Linked DNA regions of Solanum lycopersicum. The protein of the gene in region 1 binds, or shares a complex with, the protein of each later gene. Links are inferred from orthologs where the notes say so. Each region holds a gene or a part of one and is shown on either strand. Other genes may lie near its edges. The genes, in order: actin-related protein 2/3 complex subunit 2A, actin-related protein 2 and actin-related protein 2/3 complex subunit 3.

Region 1 (6,445 bases):
TCTCATAGAACTGTTCACAAATTTAAAACTGAAATAATAAGTATACGAACTCATAAAGAAAGTGTAATGCTACATATTGACTTGTACTACAATCCCAAGTTTGCACTTAGGAGCTCGAATCCGACCAGCTAAAAGATCAACAGCCAAGCTGAAATTACGTTGGATTGTGAGGAGGGATGTGCTGAAAGTAGAAATATGGTTTTTTATTTTACGCACCAGCAACATCCAGGAGGATATTTTCCTCCTGGATTTGGTGGATACCTCATAATACCACCAGCAGTACAGATATGGTTATTCTTAGGTAATGTCAAATACTTTATAAGAATAAGAGTAGGGGCAATGAGACTTTTAGTGGTGCAATATTCAAGAAGTTGTAAATAGTTAAGCTATATAGTTCTCCATTACGGAAAATGGACTCAATGGACTGAAAGGAAACACATGGAGGAAGTATATTACAAAAAGCTTTAACCTAAGGTGCATCCAAACATATAACACAGATCAAAGGTGAACCATGGCACACAGAGTTAAATTTGGCAGGGGCTTTTTATTCTTTATTCCAAAGGGAGTTATTCCCCTGCTTGTATACTTTTTTGCGTTCATTGAGTACCTCTGATTGTTTTGTGCTTACGTCTCTCCTTTGAGTACAAAATTTGTTCTTGGGGAACAAATGTTCTAAAGCCACCAATTGAAGATCAAGTCAAAAAAATTCTGGAGTACAAGACAACAAGACTGGGATTCAAAGGAAAATGGATAAGTTTGATTCACCATTGCTAGCCACAGTTGAACTTTCTTTCTGGATAATGTGAACCAACTGGCTCTTTAATTTAATCCCTATACTCAACATTCAGATGACTTTGCCCTTTCCTTTTGGGCAACACATGGTTGCCAACTTTTACACATGAATAGGTGATTTTTGTAGAGAAAAACTCTAGCTTGTTTAATTGTTTCCTGTTACAGATCTTTCATCGGACTTGCATCCTTTTGTTAAGAGATAACTTACTGAACTATGATATTCAAGAACAGAAATTCAGAAGCTTGGAGGCCCAACTTCGAGCCAACAGTGAATGCTGCATACTAGTATAACATACAGTTATATCTTTTTTTCCTTGAAATATTTTGCCACTACTCAGACAATAAATTGTACTCTTCGTAGCTAGAAGAACGAGTGAAAAATTGACAATTTCCCTTTTAGTTTTAGGAATAATGAAAACATGCACATAACAAAAAAAAAAAAAAAACTCCAAGAGAAAGGAAACACTGAAATTTTCAACTGAATAGAAACTGAGAAGAATGAAACCCTTTTTTCATGTGTGTGTGCTGAACGTGTGCTTATTAATGAGTGTTCTCAACTTATATTAAAAAGAATTTGCTAAAATAGACATGCAACATGAAGCGGATGCGATCACATTTATTTCTTGATTACCCTTAGGAGAGTAAGAACCCCCCAAACTTTTCTAGTAATGCAGTTTGGACTAACATCCTAATACCATCCAGCACAACTATAGCAAGCTCATAATGACCTTAAAGAGGAAACTTGCAGAACCTTCATCTGGGGGAAGTTTTGACAAGTTTAGTTTAAGTGTGAGATTAAACCCATCTCTTGGAGGATCAAGAATTTGTGCAACTGCACCATATGCTGCTTTTATGGCTTCTAGCGCTCCAAGTGGAAGTCCACCAAAGAGGACGGTTTCTGGAGGTGGTATGGGCAATGATACAGAAAGAAGCAAGACATTTGGATTTTTCACTGAACCCTGCAGAATATGTTACAGATTAGCCAGCCAGATGTATCATAGATGACAGCATGTCAAAATAAGATATGACCATCTCAATTAACATTTTTAAAATAATGATGTGTTTAGTGGTTCTTCCATTTTTCTTTTGAAGTGAAAAAATTGGTTAAAAAATAAAGCAAAATCATCAAATTGGACTGTTGTATGATAATAACTCACCTGAATATGGTAACGGATATCATCAAATTCAACCCATTGGCTGTCCAGTTCAACCCCTTTCTCAAGACTGCAAAATAAGGATGTGCTGTCAGCATCTACTACAGATTATTCAAACAAATGACGGAATGGTATCGGTTCTATTTGCAATACAGGGCTGCCAAATTTTTGGAAGATTCAAGGATCAGAAAACTAGGTATGTCATATTTTAGAACTTTAAGCATACACCATTTGGTGAAAGAATAAGCTAAGAGCAATTGGACAAATAAAGGAACCGGAATGCTATATTGTTAACAGGGAGGGGTTCCCATGATAAATCACTAAATGGAAGTAAACAAATTAAAATGATCAATTTTAATATCACGGTAGCTAATGCTTGAACAATTAATCAAATTTTGAACATTTGTGACTTTATTGGCAGCACTTTTGGATTGATTAAGCTGATTCTACTTCAGTAACTGATAGTGTAGGCAGTTCATGTTCATCCTCTACTCCAGCTCCCTGGGATGCGAGGAAGTAAATGCAACTCTCCAAACTGTTATGCAAAAGGTAGAAAAAGTTGAAATACTTTTGCATTTTTTGGAAATGCACATTACAACATTATGGTTATTATTCACATAGTATTTCCGTGCTTCACTACATAGCGATCATCTAGAGCTTGCCAACTATTGGACATACTCATACAGAACATTCACCCATATACCCATGTATCACGGGTGTTAATGACTGAAAGATTACATCTTTACACTTCAATTAGAGCAACAACAAATGTTAATACCTAGCAACGCATCTTCGTACTCAAGCACAGAAATGAGTTGGAACTACACAGAAACATCAACTATACTAGCTGTAACTCAATCAACTAGAGCTTGCTAAATATCGGACATACTCATTCCAAACAAATCCATGTAATAGCACCCAGGGTGTGGCCTACTGATCAATGAAGTAGGTTGAGAACCATGAAATCTCATGTTCAATCCCAACAGAGACAAAAATACTTGGTGATTTCTTCCCATTTGTTCTAACCTTGGTGGATAAAGTTACCTATTAATTGTTGGTGGTGGGAAGTGGCGGATATCCCATGGAATTAGTCAAGGTGCGCGAGGAGTGGAACGTATCCCGTGGATTTAGTGGAGGTACACGAAAGCCGGTTCACACACCATGGTTATCGGGGAAAAAAAATCGCAACGTTATGCTTAAGAAAGTGCAACAACAAATGCTAATGCAGCAGAAGCATATAAACTCTTTCATATTCACAACCACGCACAGAAATAAGCTAGAACTATGCAAACATTAAACAATCTAGCTGCAATACAATCAGCTCCTATAAAAATAAACAATAATGCAATCCACACTTCCATAACCAGGCTTAATCTTATTAGCTCAGTTCATTAGCTGACTACCATAACTTTCACCAAGCTCTCGATTCCCACACTTTGTAATCCCTTTCCCTTCTCCTACCCTAACTTTCTTTTAAAATACTAAAAGATTGCAACTTTATGCTTATGCTAATCCCAGCAGATACATACAAGTACTTTTATATTCATAATCATACACAAAAATGAGCAAAAACTATGCAAACATCAATCAATAATGCAATCCAGACTACCCTAAACCACAAATTGACCCGAAAAAAGTGTTTAAAATAGGGAAAAGTGAAAAAAGTGAAATGGATTTAAGCTTACCTCTGGACGCGATTGTACAAGATCTGAAGAAGATATCTAGAGGGAGATTGCAGTAATATCATCGATCTCTTTCACAAAACAAATTCGCAGTTTGGGTTCTTTGAAAATCAAAGAAATTAGAAAGAAACAGAAAATCAAAGAATCTTGAATGGACAATTTGATGAAGTTTTGTTATTAAAAGTTTGATTTCTCTTTTGTCAATTTGTTCAAGTGGGAAAAGTTATGTAAGAATTATTGAATAAATCAAATCACTTTTTTGTTACAAACACCGGAACCTATTAATTTTATTCTCGAACTATTAATACTCTATTAACTTGACTAAAATATATTTCCTAAATTACGTCAAGTTTAATTATATTTTTGCTACTTCTCTCGACTTTCTATTAAGTTTGCGTCTGGACATGCGATATGAAATCAACTTTTGGACATGTCATTTCATATCATGAGATAAAATTCCGACTTATGTGAAAATCATGATTTGGAAATTTTCAAATACAAAAATTGACCCACAAATTTATATTTTGTAATGAAAACTCCATATATATATCTACTAATTATTTATTTGATAGGTAATTAATGTCAAATTATTTTATCTTCGTATATGTTTTAATCTCCATGATTTCTTTTTGTTATTTACTATTTTTTGTTTTGAAATTTCTAGCTCCGCACTGAATGAAAAAAAAAAAAAGAGAACTTTTTTTAAGTCTTCTAAATATATATAAGGTCAATTATGATTATACTTTGCATTTTGATGTCATGCCATATATAAAGTATAAACCTTCTTATTCAAGATTCTCTGAATATTAATTCTTTAGTCGGACTGTCTATAGACTTAAGTCGAATCATTCAAAAATACACTACTTTTAGTAAAAATATGAAAGCATCCGACAATATTTTTGAATAGTCCGAGCAACGTAGTTTTCAGGTTAGACCTGCCTTGATTTTCTGAATAGTAATGATATCAGTCTTAAAAGACTTGGCTAAAATGTTATCAGGAATGCTTGTATTGAACACAGAGTTAGGAACAGAAACAGTGCCTGCATTTGCACTTCCAAAGGCAGATATACCCCAAGCACAATTTTCAGCATCAGCATTGTATTGATAGTGTACTAGTCCTTTAGGGAACACGAAAACGTCTCCTGTTTGCAATGTTTGAGTGTAAATCTTGTTCGTGGTATCGATGAATCCTACTTCCAATGTCCCTGACATGAGGAAAAGTAGCTCGGCTGAACGTGGATGAGTGTGGACAGGGTTGACAGAGCCTGCAGGGTACTGTAGGATTGCATAGGAAACACTTTGTCCGTTCAGGGCTGGAAACTCCGTCATTGCTGCCTTTGTTACCTTGAATTTTTCGGGTGATGGAGCTCCAACGATGCCCCTTAGGCCTGAGAAGGTGAAGTAGGAAGCGTCAACTGATGGCACGCTCAGTGGCAGCACAAAGTCTGTTAGGATGTCAGGGTCACCAGCTGATGCCATTTGAAAAATGACTAGTGATGTTGCTAGAGCTAACAGAACTATGCAACTTGAAGTTTTTGATTCCATTTTTTCTCCTGTTTTCGTTTATTTGTTTGAATGATTTCTTGATGGACTAAAGATTTTATAGCTATACAAGGGACATATCAAACAAGAATCGAGATTGAAGTCCCCGATGATTCGCAAAAACAAAAATGAATTGTGAATATAGGAAACGGCTCCAGAAGTTTATTGTGTCAACTTAAGAAACAACACTTGCTCACCTCTTTCCAGTTCTGGCTTTCAATATGGACAAGAGAAAGCAGTTTACTTTTTCCCTTTAAAAATTGTTATGTTTTCGACTTCATGCACTTTGCTTACATTACAAGATCAAAGAGTCCATAAAAGTATTATCTTGAAGCATATAACTGATGAAACCTAAGGAATATTGAGATGATTTTCGAAATATGGAATCTTATAATGTGATTTCCAGGTAGTTTCTGCTATCAAAAACAAATAAGTATAATGTGTCAAGCTTAGTTAACATCTATTACCAACTGGCTTATCCTTCAGCAAAATTTGGTTCTGGTTTTGGTCTTTTTTATAAATTTGTGGTCTAACAGAACTAATAGTCATCATTTTACAACTTATTTGTATACATTTTACCTGTATCAACAAAAAATGGCCTCATTCCTCTTGAAAAGTGTCCTTGTTGTTGTAGCCGTCTTTTTCATTTCTTCGATGGCTCAAGCTAGTGATCCGGATATCTTGTCTGACTTCATTGTTCCTGCAGGAAGCACCATAGATGGGAACTTCTTTACCTTCACTGGTACTCGTGATATTTTTGGCAGCATCATTGAAAAGTTCAGTGTGACAAAAGTGAGCAAGGCAGAGTTTCCAGGTTTGGACGGCCAGAGTGTTTCGTTGGCAGTGCTTCAGTTCCCCGGAGGAGGTGTCAACCCGCCCCACACACACCCTCGTGCAGCTGAACTGTTATTCGTCGTTAAAGGTAGTCTTGAGGTTGGATTTGTGGACACCGCTAACAAGCTTTACACTCAGGCTCTCCAAGTTGGTGACTTGTTTGTGTTCCCTAAAGGACTAGTGCATTATCAGTACAATTCTGATTGGAATAAATCAGCTATAGCCGTGTCTGGTTTTGGCAGCACTAGTACTGGAACTGTGTCACTTCCTACAACATTGTTTGCTACTGGGATCGATGATCAAGTTCTCGCCAAGTCCTTCAAGTCTGATATTGCCACTATTCGGAAGATCAAGGCTGGTCTTTCATCTTAGGCAATTTTCTGTATTTTCACCACTAAATTTGTGTGTCTCGACATGTACTTACAAGATAGTACTGCAGTC
Region 2 (5,389 bases), on another chromosome or scaffold:
TTCATGGTTAACTAACTAAACTTTCCTTTCATTCTGCTTGTGAAGATAGATCCAACAGAATGCAAAATTCTCCTGACAGATCCACCTCTCAATCCATCTAAAAATCGTGAAATGATGGTTTGTGTTAATGTCTTACTTTTTCGAGAAAAGCATTCTCTCTCTTTACTGCTTCAATGATTCTTAACTTATACTCTGATTTACTTGAATTACAGGTAGAAACCATGTTCGAGAAGTACAACTTTGCTGGTGTCTTCATCCAAATTCAAGCCGTTCTAACATTGTATGCTCAAGGTACCATTATACATGTATGAGTTCTTGGGGCATAATCATCTTCAATTATATGTGAGAAGGACCTTCGATAGGAGAGTTTAGAGGTGGCGGATTTGGGTAGAAGGTTAGTTTGGTAGTTGCGCATTCTCTCGCTTCTTGCGGTATTGAGAACAATAGAAGTTAGCATAATTTGTGTGGCCTCCTCTTCCAGCATACAAAGCTAAAGATTCCTGTGAAGAACTACCAAATTTTCCTTTTCCAGAATGCATCATTAGATTATTTCCCCTTCCTGCATATAGAGCCATAGATTCATGCATATCTCTACTAATTTTGGAATCAGCTGTCATACGCTGACTTTCATCAGATGTTATCATAGCATAAGTTCGACTCACACTAGGTAATGGATTCATCATTAAAATCTGACTCCTCGCATGACTGTACACCTAATTCAAACCCATCAAAGAAACAAATTATCGCAGAAATTGCAGATGATCAACATACACTTTGGACTTATCACAGTTACAAGCAGTAGGCGGAACAAGTGCGTCAAACTCATTGCATAGAAGTAGCAATTTAGTAAAGTACCCAGAAACTGTCAAATTACCTTGACTAATTGTACTAATTTCACGATGAAGCTGATAGCTTCTAGATCCATCAACCTTGTTGAAGGGCTCATTCAAATCTTCCCAAACCATTGTTGCATCTGATGCATATACGATTCCACACAATAACTCTTTAGGCACCGTGTTCATGATCCATACTAACGCGAATGCGTTGCATTTCTCCCATTGCTCCTCCAATTCAGGTTTGTGATCAGATTTGCGACAAGTTCCAAGTACGAATCCCAGCTTGCTCTTAGCACGAAGGTTAATCATTAACGATCTGCTCCACAATGAGTAATTTTCAGCCCCTGTGAGTTGTACTGATGTCAATACACTCCCAGGAGTTTCAGAGGGATGAAGATATAGTGGATGATTTCGATTTTTCTCAATTCCATCAAGAGTATCAGCTGAAACTCCTGAAACTGTAGCTGCTGCACTATCCTCTGATGTCAATATCATCTTCTTTGAACTCACTCAATGGATGCTTCGAAGTCTTCAAATTGAATTGATTGTGAATCTGAATCTTGTGGATTCACAGCTCTGATACATGAAAATTTTAGTGAGAGAATTAATTGGGAAAATTTTCTCTATATTCTGTTAAACTGTAAAATGAGAATGAATCCATACATATATACAAGTGTGTTAGCCAGCTATCATGGCTGTTAAGCCAGCTGTTAACTCTCTCTCCACTAACTAACTACTTAACTAACTAATGGAATGTAAAATGTTTAACTAACTAACTAATGTGCAAATTAAATAATTTTATGCTAACTACTATTATTCTCAATAGATACGGTTGGTGGTAATACTTGGACCTTCCTTCTTACCAGTAATATTAGCACTATTCTCGTAGTTTCTTGTTCTTGGATTTAGTTTGTGCTCAGAATATTGCATTACTTCATCATCGTTACTGTTCTTTCTGCACTTTGTTGTGTAATGCTCTCCGTTTCGCATTATTTCATTGTAGTTATTGCTCTCATATTTGTATCCCCTTTTTTCAAACTGTTTGGCATGCTTATTTAAGCTGAGGGTCTAACGGGAACAACCTCTCTAAATCTATGGGTAAGGTTTGCGTACACTCTACCCTCAAACCCCACTTGGTGGGAGGATTACACTGGGTATGTTGTTGTTGCGAGAAGGACCATCATAAGTCTTGATATTGCAATTTTGTAGCGGGTATTTGTTACAAGGGTGGGGCTAAGTCATATTTTGCTTCTACTTGGGCCCTATCTGATGATGGATTTGCTCATTTTTTATGTTCCAATATGCAGGTTTGTTGACTGGGCTTGTCATCGACTCAGGTGATGGAGTTACACATGTTGTAAGTTTTTCCATAAGCATAGCTGTTTCATGATCTATAGTTTGTCTCGGTTCAACATTGATTCAAAAGAGAAGGTTAATTCTCATAAAGTTTGAGGTAATCAAACTAGGAGTTGCTACTCCCAAAACTAGAACTTTTTTCCTGCATAGTCCATTGGGCTCCCTGTCTAATAAGATTGCTCCTTCAAGCTGGTCATAAAGGCAGTGTTTTTTCAGCTCTCTGTTCTTTTGGTGGCACATGGTAATACTTGCTATGAACCGTGGGGATATTTTTTCTTCTGTATGTTATTCAGAAATATGTTGGTGCAGGTTCCTGTTGTAGATGGATACTCATTTCCTCACCTCACGAAAAGAATGAATGTAGCTGGACGGCATATAACGTCTTATATGGTTGATCTGCTACTTCGGAGAGGGTAATTGCCAACATATGTTTGAAATAAACTAAATAGGGTCATTCATGCTAATTTGATTATTTTAAACCATTACTGGAGTTTTGATGGTCAGTCATATCTGAAGGTATGCAATGAATAGAAGTGCCGATTTTGAGACTGTCAGGGATATTAAAGAAAAGCTCTGCTACATTAGGTGAATTACTTGCGTTGTAAATTAATCCCTTTACTAATTCTTCTGGCGAGTAATGATATTTTCTTTACTGCAGTTATGATTACAAGAGAGAGTATCAGTTGGGGCTTGAAACGACAATTCTTGTTAAGAATTATACTGTGAGTAGGCTCCATCCATAATAAGCTTTTAATTGGAAAAAACAAAGGCACTACTATTCTTTAAGCTTTTCTACTACCTTGAACTGCAATTAGGTATGGTACTTTGCTCTTGGAAGCAAAGATCCTTTTTTCTCCCATAAGAAACTTGGTCATCTGTAACTCATTATTTCACTTGTTTTTCAACAGCTTCCAGATGGGAGGGTACTTAAAGTTGGCACAGAGAGGTTCCAGGCACCTGAGGCTCTTTTTACTCCAGTGAGCATGCATTCCCATTTTTATTTTCCTCTTTCACAAATCAAGAACATACCTTTTACATAAAAATGCACCAGATTTGCTTTCCTCGTAGTGGTAAAGATGAAAGGCAATTGATGTATTCCCATAAAGCAATCTAATCCTGCAAATCCCATGTAACACCAAATGTCAATGTGACACTTGTTATCTAATACCATGACCATCTTTTGTCGTACAGCTTTTTAAATTTGGTAGTTCTTTTACCTCTCAACTATTCAATAGCAAAGCAATAGAGTGTTATCTTTGAACCAATTTGTTTCAGATGAAGTGTCAATTAAGTCCTTGTGAAAAAATTGAAGCAAGAACACATTGTTTGAACTTTGAACTGCATTGTTTGAAATGCTATTATATGCTTCTCCAAACTTCTACTTTATGGGTTGATGTATGTGAAAGAAAGCTAAATTGAAATATTATTCCACGTTTCTCCAAAATTCTAATTGAAGGGTTGATGTATGTGCAAGGAATTTTAAATATTATTTCACGCTTCTGCAATATATTTATTGATGGGTTGCTGTATGTGGAAGGAAGCTAAGTGTCACTTTTTCTGTCCATTTCAGGATCTTATTGATGTTGAAGGTGATGGCATGGCTGACATGGTATTTCGCTGCATTCAGGAGATGGATATTGACAACAGGATGATGGTACTTCAACTTTGAAATTTCTTCTGTATTCTTTGCCATAGTGTTGTCATTTGCCATCCATCATATGTTTAAATTTTCACTTGCAGCTCTACCAGCATATTGTTTTGAGTGGTGGAAGTACCATGTATCCTGGCTTACCTAGTCGGTAACTTACTCAAAATACTCTTCCTTATTATAAAGCTTTGAGAACTTGGAGCTGAGTAGTGCAATTGTGCGTGGTTGATTCTAAATGCTACATTATTGTCATACAGACTAGGAAGTTTTAACGGGTGTGACAGTTTGCTTTGAGTTTATGAACCAAAGTATATCCTTGAATTATTTTTTCCTCAGGACTAATGTTTAATCAATCTGGCAGAGAAATTTGAACTGTAAAACTGTTATGCTATAACTTTGATAACACTCTTTTATTGTGCGAAGAACTCTAATTCACCTCCCTGTGGATTTTGAATTTTATGATTCTCCTCTTACGGTATCAAAATTTTGCTGATTCCCTCCTCCTGGTAGCAGTCAGCTTTGGTATATCTGACTGATGACTTATTCCTCATAGTTGTTCTATTTTTCTCCTGCTCATAAGTACCCTTCTGAAATTGTTAGTATCATAACGACCATGAAATGCATGAAGGCATATCTAAAAATGCAAATCAACGTGAAATATATATTCATTTTCACTACATACTATTTTAACTCTCATCTTGTTACGTATCATAAATTAGAGTATGAAATTCTATTCGAGAGGATATGAGTATTGTTTAGAAATGTGCTATATTAGGAAATTTAGGTATACACTTTAATGCATGAAGAATTTCTGTTAAGAATATCCGTGAGCTGTCATCAAGAAGGACTTTCATCTCTTTGTGATTTATTCCTTTGAACTTTACTTTTGCAGTTAACATTTCTTTTGGTTTACTGTGGGAATATAAGGAACGAAACTCTTTCTTACCCACCTCATGACCACACTCATCATATTCTTGTTTCCTTTAATAACAGCTATTTTCCCTTCTTTTTAAACATTGACAGCCTTGAGAAAGAAATTTTGGACCGCTATCTTGATGTTGTTCTGAAGGGGAACAAAGATGGTTTGAAGGTACTGTGTGACTCTTATTTGTTCTTTTCACAATTTCTTGAGGTTTTTGGTTTATGAATAAGGTTTATGCAACTAAGTTGCATTTATTCAAATAGTCTTACCCACAAACCACAATAAAATACCTCAATCTCACTGGTAGCTGCAGCTTATGGTGATTTCGGCTCTATATGAGGTCAAGTCAATCAAGAGATGGAGATAAGAAAGTAGTTGGAAAAGTACGAGTAGGGTTTAACATATCTAGGGAGTTGGATTGCATTGCCTACAATTGCTGTCTTTTATGATGCATTTCTTGGTTTTCTTTAAGTTGTTGAAATTTTCTCTATTTTTGAAAATTTTATTTTATATGTTTTCTGCAATAGAAATTGCGCTTACGAATAGAAGATCCACCCAGAAGAAAGCATATGGTGTATCTCGGTGGTGCAGTTCTGGCCGGAATTATGAAGGTATGGTGGTATCGAT
Region 3 (6,463 bases), on another chromosome or scaffold:
GAAAGAGAGATATATGAGAAAAAGAGCAAGTTATTTCACTCTCTAAATCCGATCACTTCAGTTAACTTGAGACGCCCTAAGCAGGAATTCATTTTCTAGGCCAACACACAACAACTCTTTCCTCCCGTCATATTCCTCCAAAATAACGATTGTTCATATTATTTTGGACAATTTGAGGCCATAGGAGGTGATTGAAAAAATTGGACACAGATGTATGGAACAACACAGGGGATCTCAAAATTGTTGGCCGCAATTTTCTGTCAGACTGCTAATGATCAGCTCAAGATGACAACTACCATCTGTTTCCTCAGATTACAATGGCTAATGGCAGTATGTTTCAGTCAGGTGTTCCTTCTTTTTTCCAAAAGAAGCCATTGAGGGGCTCAGAGTTGACACTAACAAACATATATAGATTTTCCTAATTGTGCCAAAGTACTTTCAAAATGTCACAGTTGACAAGCTTTGACCAACACTACTACACAGTTTCTGTAATGATAATCCAATATTACTTTTATAACAGAATACAATTTTATTAGACAACACCCAAGGGAACTCGATCTATATACAAAGCATACAAAAAACCCATCATTTTTTATCTTTTCATCCAACTTCTACTGACCATCCTACCATGAAGAACAGAGACGTCCGTCCATACACGGTCATAACTCTCAAGTAGTGGTTGTACAAAAACTAACAAATCCTTCATCCATCAGAAAATGGAACCTTCTGAGAGATTTTGAGAGTTCAGATGAGAGGGATTTAAAATTGTAAATGGTTTAGGAGAAGATTGATAGTCGAGAAAAACACAAGGCATTACTGAGTATTTTGCAATTCAAGGCTGCACAACTTAGGAAAAAGAGCACAATGGATTAAAATAAATTGCAGTTTTAACAGTGTCTGGATATCCATTACTCGGCAAAAGTGATAAAGCACATCATTTCAGTCAAAGATAATGGAGTTCACAGAAGTCTTCTGATTTGCACTTCCCTTTTTTTGGAAATTGGCATCTGGAAGTTTTCATACTATCAACCCACATTGACTCATCCCAATCTTTAAGAAAAAGATTGTTGATCCCAACTTCTATTACCCTACTAAGAAAGTCTTCCAGTTCATATAATCTTTCTCCACTTAGAACCAAATGCAATGTTGTAACATGTCAAAAAGGTTTCAAGCCATACAAATGTAGCGTACATGAAAATTCCAGAAGAATTAGATTGGCACAATTAGACTAGGATATCATCATCTGAATAACTATGAGATGTGAATTTGTTTGTTTTCATTTTAGAATCTCAAAGGAAAAAAATTAAAGCAAACAGCAAACTCAAAATTAACCAAAATCATTTATTGGTGGTTTATTCACATATAAAAAGAAGGTTGCTTCGTTCAAATAACAACTTACCTGCTTCTTTTTTAGATTGGGCTGGAGAAAATAAGCTTGGGAATGGGAAACCTGCCTCTCCAGGTACAGGAACATTTTCCAGACCTAGGTTGATGATAGCCTTGGTTCCTTCAGCTAAAGTTCGGCAGCCTTCAAGCCTCTTTAAGGCTATATTGATATACAATGTCAAATAGATAAGTAGCTTGTCAGATGAGCTTTTAATATCAAAGTTTTTGAAGAAGACATTTGCTCGGAAGAATGTGATTGCTTCATCAACAATATCGGTTGTATCTGCTCAAAAATAAGATCAGCATCACCATAATAATGTGGAGACATTCTCTTAATAAGGAAAAGACTCGTAAGACTAACCTTGTTCTGAAACTGGAGCAGGTCCCCTTATATGGCTTTTCAGAGGTAACAAAGGACATCCACAAGCTTTACTAATTCCTTCCTCATCAACGAAACTGGAATGATAAACCTGCAATTGAATCAAAATCAGGTTTCAGCACTCAATGGGACAAGTTGTTATGGGTTTAAACACCCTATAAAACAAAAATAATAGAGTGAATAAAATAGAAAGGACAAATTCATTAGAGTTGAATACAGAAAATTCATCGCCAAGAAAAATAGAGTCCTCAAACAACCCCGGATAGCAGATGCACATTAGGGAAGAGATCCTGAACGATCATAAGGACCATCAGGCGCTCCAAGACCAAGAGCATCCAAGGATTACACATCAAGAAGTTACAGATCTCTAAGAGATAATCAGAAGATGCTTGGAGAGCATGGCGAAGATTCGAGCAAAGCATATCATGTTTGAGAGTTCAAGGAGTGCTTGGAAGTGGCTGAAAAAAAAACTTGCTGGAAAGTAAAGTCCAGCACACGGCTAAGGCATTGGGTGTGGACAGAAGGAGCTAAGGCTGGACGCCTTGCACCGAAACACAAACACCAAAAGTTAAGCGGGCTGGAAATTACGACTCAGTGCAGCGGGCTGAACTTGAGGAATCGGTCATGTGTGACACACTGGTCTTACAAATTGGGAGGCTTTTCAGTTAGTGTAATTTATTCTTTTCTCAAACATAGGTAATATAATCTGCACATAAGGTTAAACTCGTTTTTAGAGAGGTTTTGATATAATTTTGAGATTGATATCTTTCTGAGGCTCAAACAGTCTTTGTCCGGACTGAATTTCAAAATTCTTTCAAGCTTGAACCTTGGTGGTAATTCTTTTTACTTCTAAATCTTTATATTTTTGGTTCTTTCTTTTCTGTTCTTCAGTTTTGGTTGGAATTTCTATCATGTTATTTCCATTAATCAGTGTGTAAGATACCGTACTGCATGCATGTATCCAAATCATATCTAAGTCCCCTACTCTAAATCAGTTACTGTCTTGTTTATCACCATTAGACTATATATAGACTTCTTGAAGTGAGTACAGATCAAAGAAAGACCACAATCCATCCCATATTGCCAATAACAGATCCTCATTGCCAAGATGTTTTAAAAACAGAATACAACATTTGTCATTTATTTATTCCTCTTTGAAGAAACCAAAGTGTAACTCAAAATAGTGGAATGAACACATGAAATGTAAGCCATGTAGCTCATTTAGTGCACCAAACCAGGAAAAGGGCCAAGTCGATCACCAAAGGAAAAGAAACAGCATGGTTTTCATCATGCGTGGAAGTTATCACACTATCAACTCAGAGAGATAATTGTCACCAAAGTAATGAAATATGTAAGCAAAAAAATGCTTTCTTTACCATTTTCCTTGCTGAAAATTTTGCTTCTTAGCACCAGAAGGCAATGTATAATTTCGAACCAAAGAGGCTATAACACCAATCTGCAGATGCACTCATCAAGTATCAGATAACTAAGATTAATTAGAACACAACTAACATGACTCCAATATAAGAGGACGTGCATCAAAATTTACGATTACTTCATCTACATCAGATAACTAGCTATGCATCTAAGTAATATTCAGGTAATCTTCCATATAGTCCAACATCTTCCGTCCTCTCTCCCCTTGTTCCTTTTTTATTTCCAGATCATCTATGCACTTTCATTCCCAACCATTCTATTCGTATCTTTTTAATTTGCGCTACTATAGAATTATCCATTAAACACAGGCAGAGCTACAGCTTCGACCAAAACCAGTAGGTTCGGCTCAAATCTTGTATTTGCGTTTAAGAATCCACCTAATATGCATAAATAAGTTATCAATAACTTAGTAAACACCGTTTTCTAGAATCCATACACTCAAATTCCTAGCTCACCCTTGATTAAACATGGTTTAGCAAATCATGTAAGTTATCTTACATTTCCCATAACATCAACTATAATGCCAGTTTTTCCCTCTTTAGTTACACATCAAAAAGTTCCCTATATCGCCATAAAAACACAAATATAGCATCTCATTTCCAATTTTAAGTTTTTTTTCAATCCGAATTCTATAAGCAAGATCTCCGACCTAGCTATTTCCCCTAATTCCCAAGCGAATTATATTAACTGAATTACGATATCAATTAAACAGTTTAAAGCATTTTGGAAAAAGCAATTATAATCACAGTAGTAACAATCACGGCAACAGTTTCAACAACAAAAACGCAATATGTTAAACATATGATAATAAGAGTAGATACGAAAAGATATGCAACAGATCGTAATTTTACGTACTGGATTTCCGAGAAGAGATAGTTAATTTCACCGGCGAGAGATGTTGAGATCGACAGGGATGGGTGATATTTTCCGGCGAAGATCAAAGAAGAAGTGAAGAGAGAATCGGGTATAAACGGTGATGGTAGTTGAAGATGGGCTTAACGATCAACTATTATTGGGCTCAATGTTTATGGGCCTCTTCTTAACCAATTTGAAGTTTAGTAAAATAGTACGATAATTGAGGTATAAGAAATAACGAGCGATAAAAGAAATTGAAGGACGAGAAACTATATGAGTAATGCTAGGACTACTAGTGTGGACGTATAGCAAGACGACACACACTACTGCCTACTAACTTCTTTAGCCTAATACGTGCCTTTCAAAACCTTATATCTAAAGTCGTATCCTTATTAAGTCGAAAATGTGTCATGTTCTATCTAATTACCTCTCTCCAAATACTTCTTCGACCTATCTCTACCTTTTCGAGGCCGCCCATTATCAACCTCTCACACCTTCATATTGGGACATTCGTGCAGCTCCTCTTTACATACATTAGCCTTGCTTTCTACATCTTGTCCTTCATCAAAATCACTCTCATGCACCTTGTCTCCGAATATCCTCGTTTCTAATCATGTCTTATTATTATTCCCACACATTCATCGCAAACATTTCATCTCCGTAGCTTTCATATTTTGAACATGAAAGTTCTTGACTAATCGACACTCTATCTCATACTATACGGTAGGTTTAACCATCACTTTTTGTCAAACTTGCCTAGCATTTTTTTCTTTCCTTATACTTTATGTCACGAATATACAGGTATCATATTGTTAAACAACGTAAATATATATGTATAATTTTTTTTTAATCAAGAAATATATCCATTTCAAATCACAAACTTAACGTTATATTTGCGCCTTTTCCATAAAGTATATATGATTTTTAAGGAGTCTAGATTTAATAATAGACTAATTGAAATACCCTACTTTATAATTCACCAATAATAATGATGACTACCTAATTTCTAAAAGGGGAATAATTCTAGGAATAATGCTATTCTATGAAAACTTTTGATAATGACATTGTTTTGAAAAAATTATTTCTCTACTTTTTCTTTTTTTTTAAAATTTGTGGTCTTCATTGTTCTAACTCTTAATCTTAAGAATAATCCATCACAAAATTCTCTAATTTCAATCAGTTCAACTTGCAATAATTTTGGGGCTTAGCTTTTTTCTAATTACTTTAGTTGATTTTGAATTGAAATATTGATATATTAACAAATTTAACATTCTTTTTTTTCTAGTAAAATTCAATATTTCAAAGGGAGAGTGTGGAAAGGGAATCTGTGCTAATGTTAACGTCAAAGTTATATAATTGAATTCAAATTAATAAGTTAAATATACCAGCTGTCTGGAATAAGTTTTTATGTATATTTAAATTAAAATTCTATTCGTAAATATAATGATATAAATCTATTTTGATTGTGACATTTATTGACTAAACATTGTAAATTTCACAAATTAATGTGAAGTAGTTGTGTATTAAAAAAAAACTTTAGGTCAAAATCAACATTATCTAAAAAATCTAATATAATTCTTTATTTATTGATAGTGAAATCCATTTTTTGAAAATATCTCATGTATAAAATTCAATCACTTGTGGTCCACAAAGCCAACATTTTCTCATCTTATTTATTGTCTTTATGATTTGTTAATCATCCAACAATAAAAATAACACTAATTTTAATTTATTTCTCGTTCAATATCAAATATCTGATTTTTAAATTTATATTAAATAAAATTTATTGAAGGAGGAAATATTTTTTCTACTAGAATTTTTTTTTTAATTCTAAAATTTAAACAAGAGACTTCTGATTAAATCTCGAATTTCGTCATTAATTTTGCATAAATATATTGAAAATGACTTATTAGTTAAAAAAAAGTCCAATCTATTTGATAATTTAATAACATTTAAGCTACCTTGGTCCCTCCACGTGGCACCACCACATGTGCCAGACAAGGACATATAAAGATTTTTCTCACATTACTAAATTATAATTATGTATATATTATATTTAATTGCCATTTGAATTGGAGTATTTTTCAATTTGAATTTCTTTCAAGTAAAAAAAAAAATTAATTAATATGCAATTTGTTTTCAATAATTATATGTATAAAATTAGTAGAGTCCCACCAACAAAACTTAATCCCCACAACACAACCAAAAAAAAAAAAAAAACACTTCAAAGTTATTGCAATGTCACTAAGGAAACTTCAAAATTTGTGTTTTGAGTGAGCAAAAGGAAAATTCCTTTCCTAGTACCAAAAGGAAACTTCAAAAGTTAGTCAGATCAGACACGTTTGATATTTATATTAAAGACTTGATTAACTTAAATGTGCTCTTATAAAGCCTCGATTGCTTGAG

The links.
Region 2: actin-related protein 2/3 complex subunit 2A (region 1) and actin-related protein 2 share a complex: the UniProt entries of both Arabidopsis thaliana proteins name them as parts of the arp2/3 complex. The link is inferred for Solanum lycopersicum from reciprocal best matches to the Arabidopsis thaliana genes DIS2 and ARP2.
Region 3: actin-related protein 2/3 complex subunit 2A (region 1) and actin-related protein 2/3 complex subunit 3 share a complex: the UniProt entries of both Arabidopsis thaliana proteins name them as parts of the arp2/3 complex. The link is inferred for Solanum lycopersicum from reciprocal best matches to the Arabidopsis thaliana genes DIS2 and ARPC3.

Annotation. Positions count from the first base shown.
Region 1 is NC_090810.1:58,673,390-58,679,834, reverse strand, and holds the start of actin-related protein 2/3 complex subunit 2A, read right to left. Parts: upstream 3,931-6,445; 5' UTR 3,694-3,930; coding exon 3,632-3,693; intron 2,482-3,631; exon of another isoform or gene 2,432-2,481; coding exon of another isoform or gene 2,406-2,431; intron 2,017-2,405; coding exon 1,950-2,016; intron 1,752-1,949; coding exon 1,544-1,751; intron 1-1,543. Other genes in the region: germin-like protein 9-3, read right to left, coding at 4,553-5,173; putative germin-like protein 9-2, read left to right, coding at 5,825-6,318. UniProt on the Arabidopsis thaliana protein: Functions as actin-binding component of the Arp2/3 complex which is involved in regulation of actin polymerization and together with an activating nucleation-promoting factor (NPF) mediates the formation of branched actin networks.
Region 2 is NC_090801.1:71,232,488-71,237,876, forward strand, and holds part of actin-related protein 2, read left to right. Parts: intron 1-45; coding exon 46-117; intron 118-212; coding exon 213-291; intron 292-2,143; coding exon 2,144-2,193; intron 2,194-2,501; coding exon 2,502-2,605; intron 2,606-2,708; coding exon 2,709-2,777; intron 2,778-2,850; coding exon 2,851-2,914; intron 2,915-3,100; coding exon 3,101-3,169; intron 3,170-3,762; coding exon 3,763-3,846; intron 3,847-3,932; coding exon 3,933-3,991; intron 3,992-4,863; coding exon 4,864-4,930; intron 4,931-5,289; coding exon 5,290-5,373; intron 5,374-5,389. UniProt on the Arabidopsis thaliana protein: Functions as ATP-binding component of the Arp2/3 complex which is involved in regulation of actin polymerization and together with an activating nucleation-promoting factor (NPF) mediates the formation of branched actin networks.
Region 3 is NC_090806.1:3,893,659-3,900,121, reverse strand, and holds the start of actin-related protein 2/3 complex subunit 3, read right to left. Parts: upstream 4,234-6,463; 5' UTR 4,058-4,233; intron 3,222-4,057; 5' UTR 3,145-3,221; coding exon 3,142-3,144; intron 1,857-3,141; coding exon 1,748-1,856; intron 1,670-1,747; coding exon 1,400-1,669; intron 1-1,399. UniProt on the Arabidopsis thaliana protein: Functions as a component of the Arp2/3 complex which is involved in regulation of actin polymerization and together with an activating nucleation-promoting factor (NPF) mediates the formation of branched actin networks.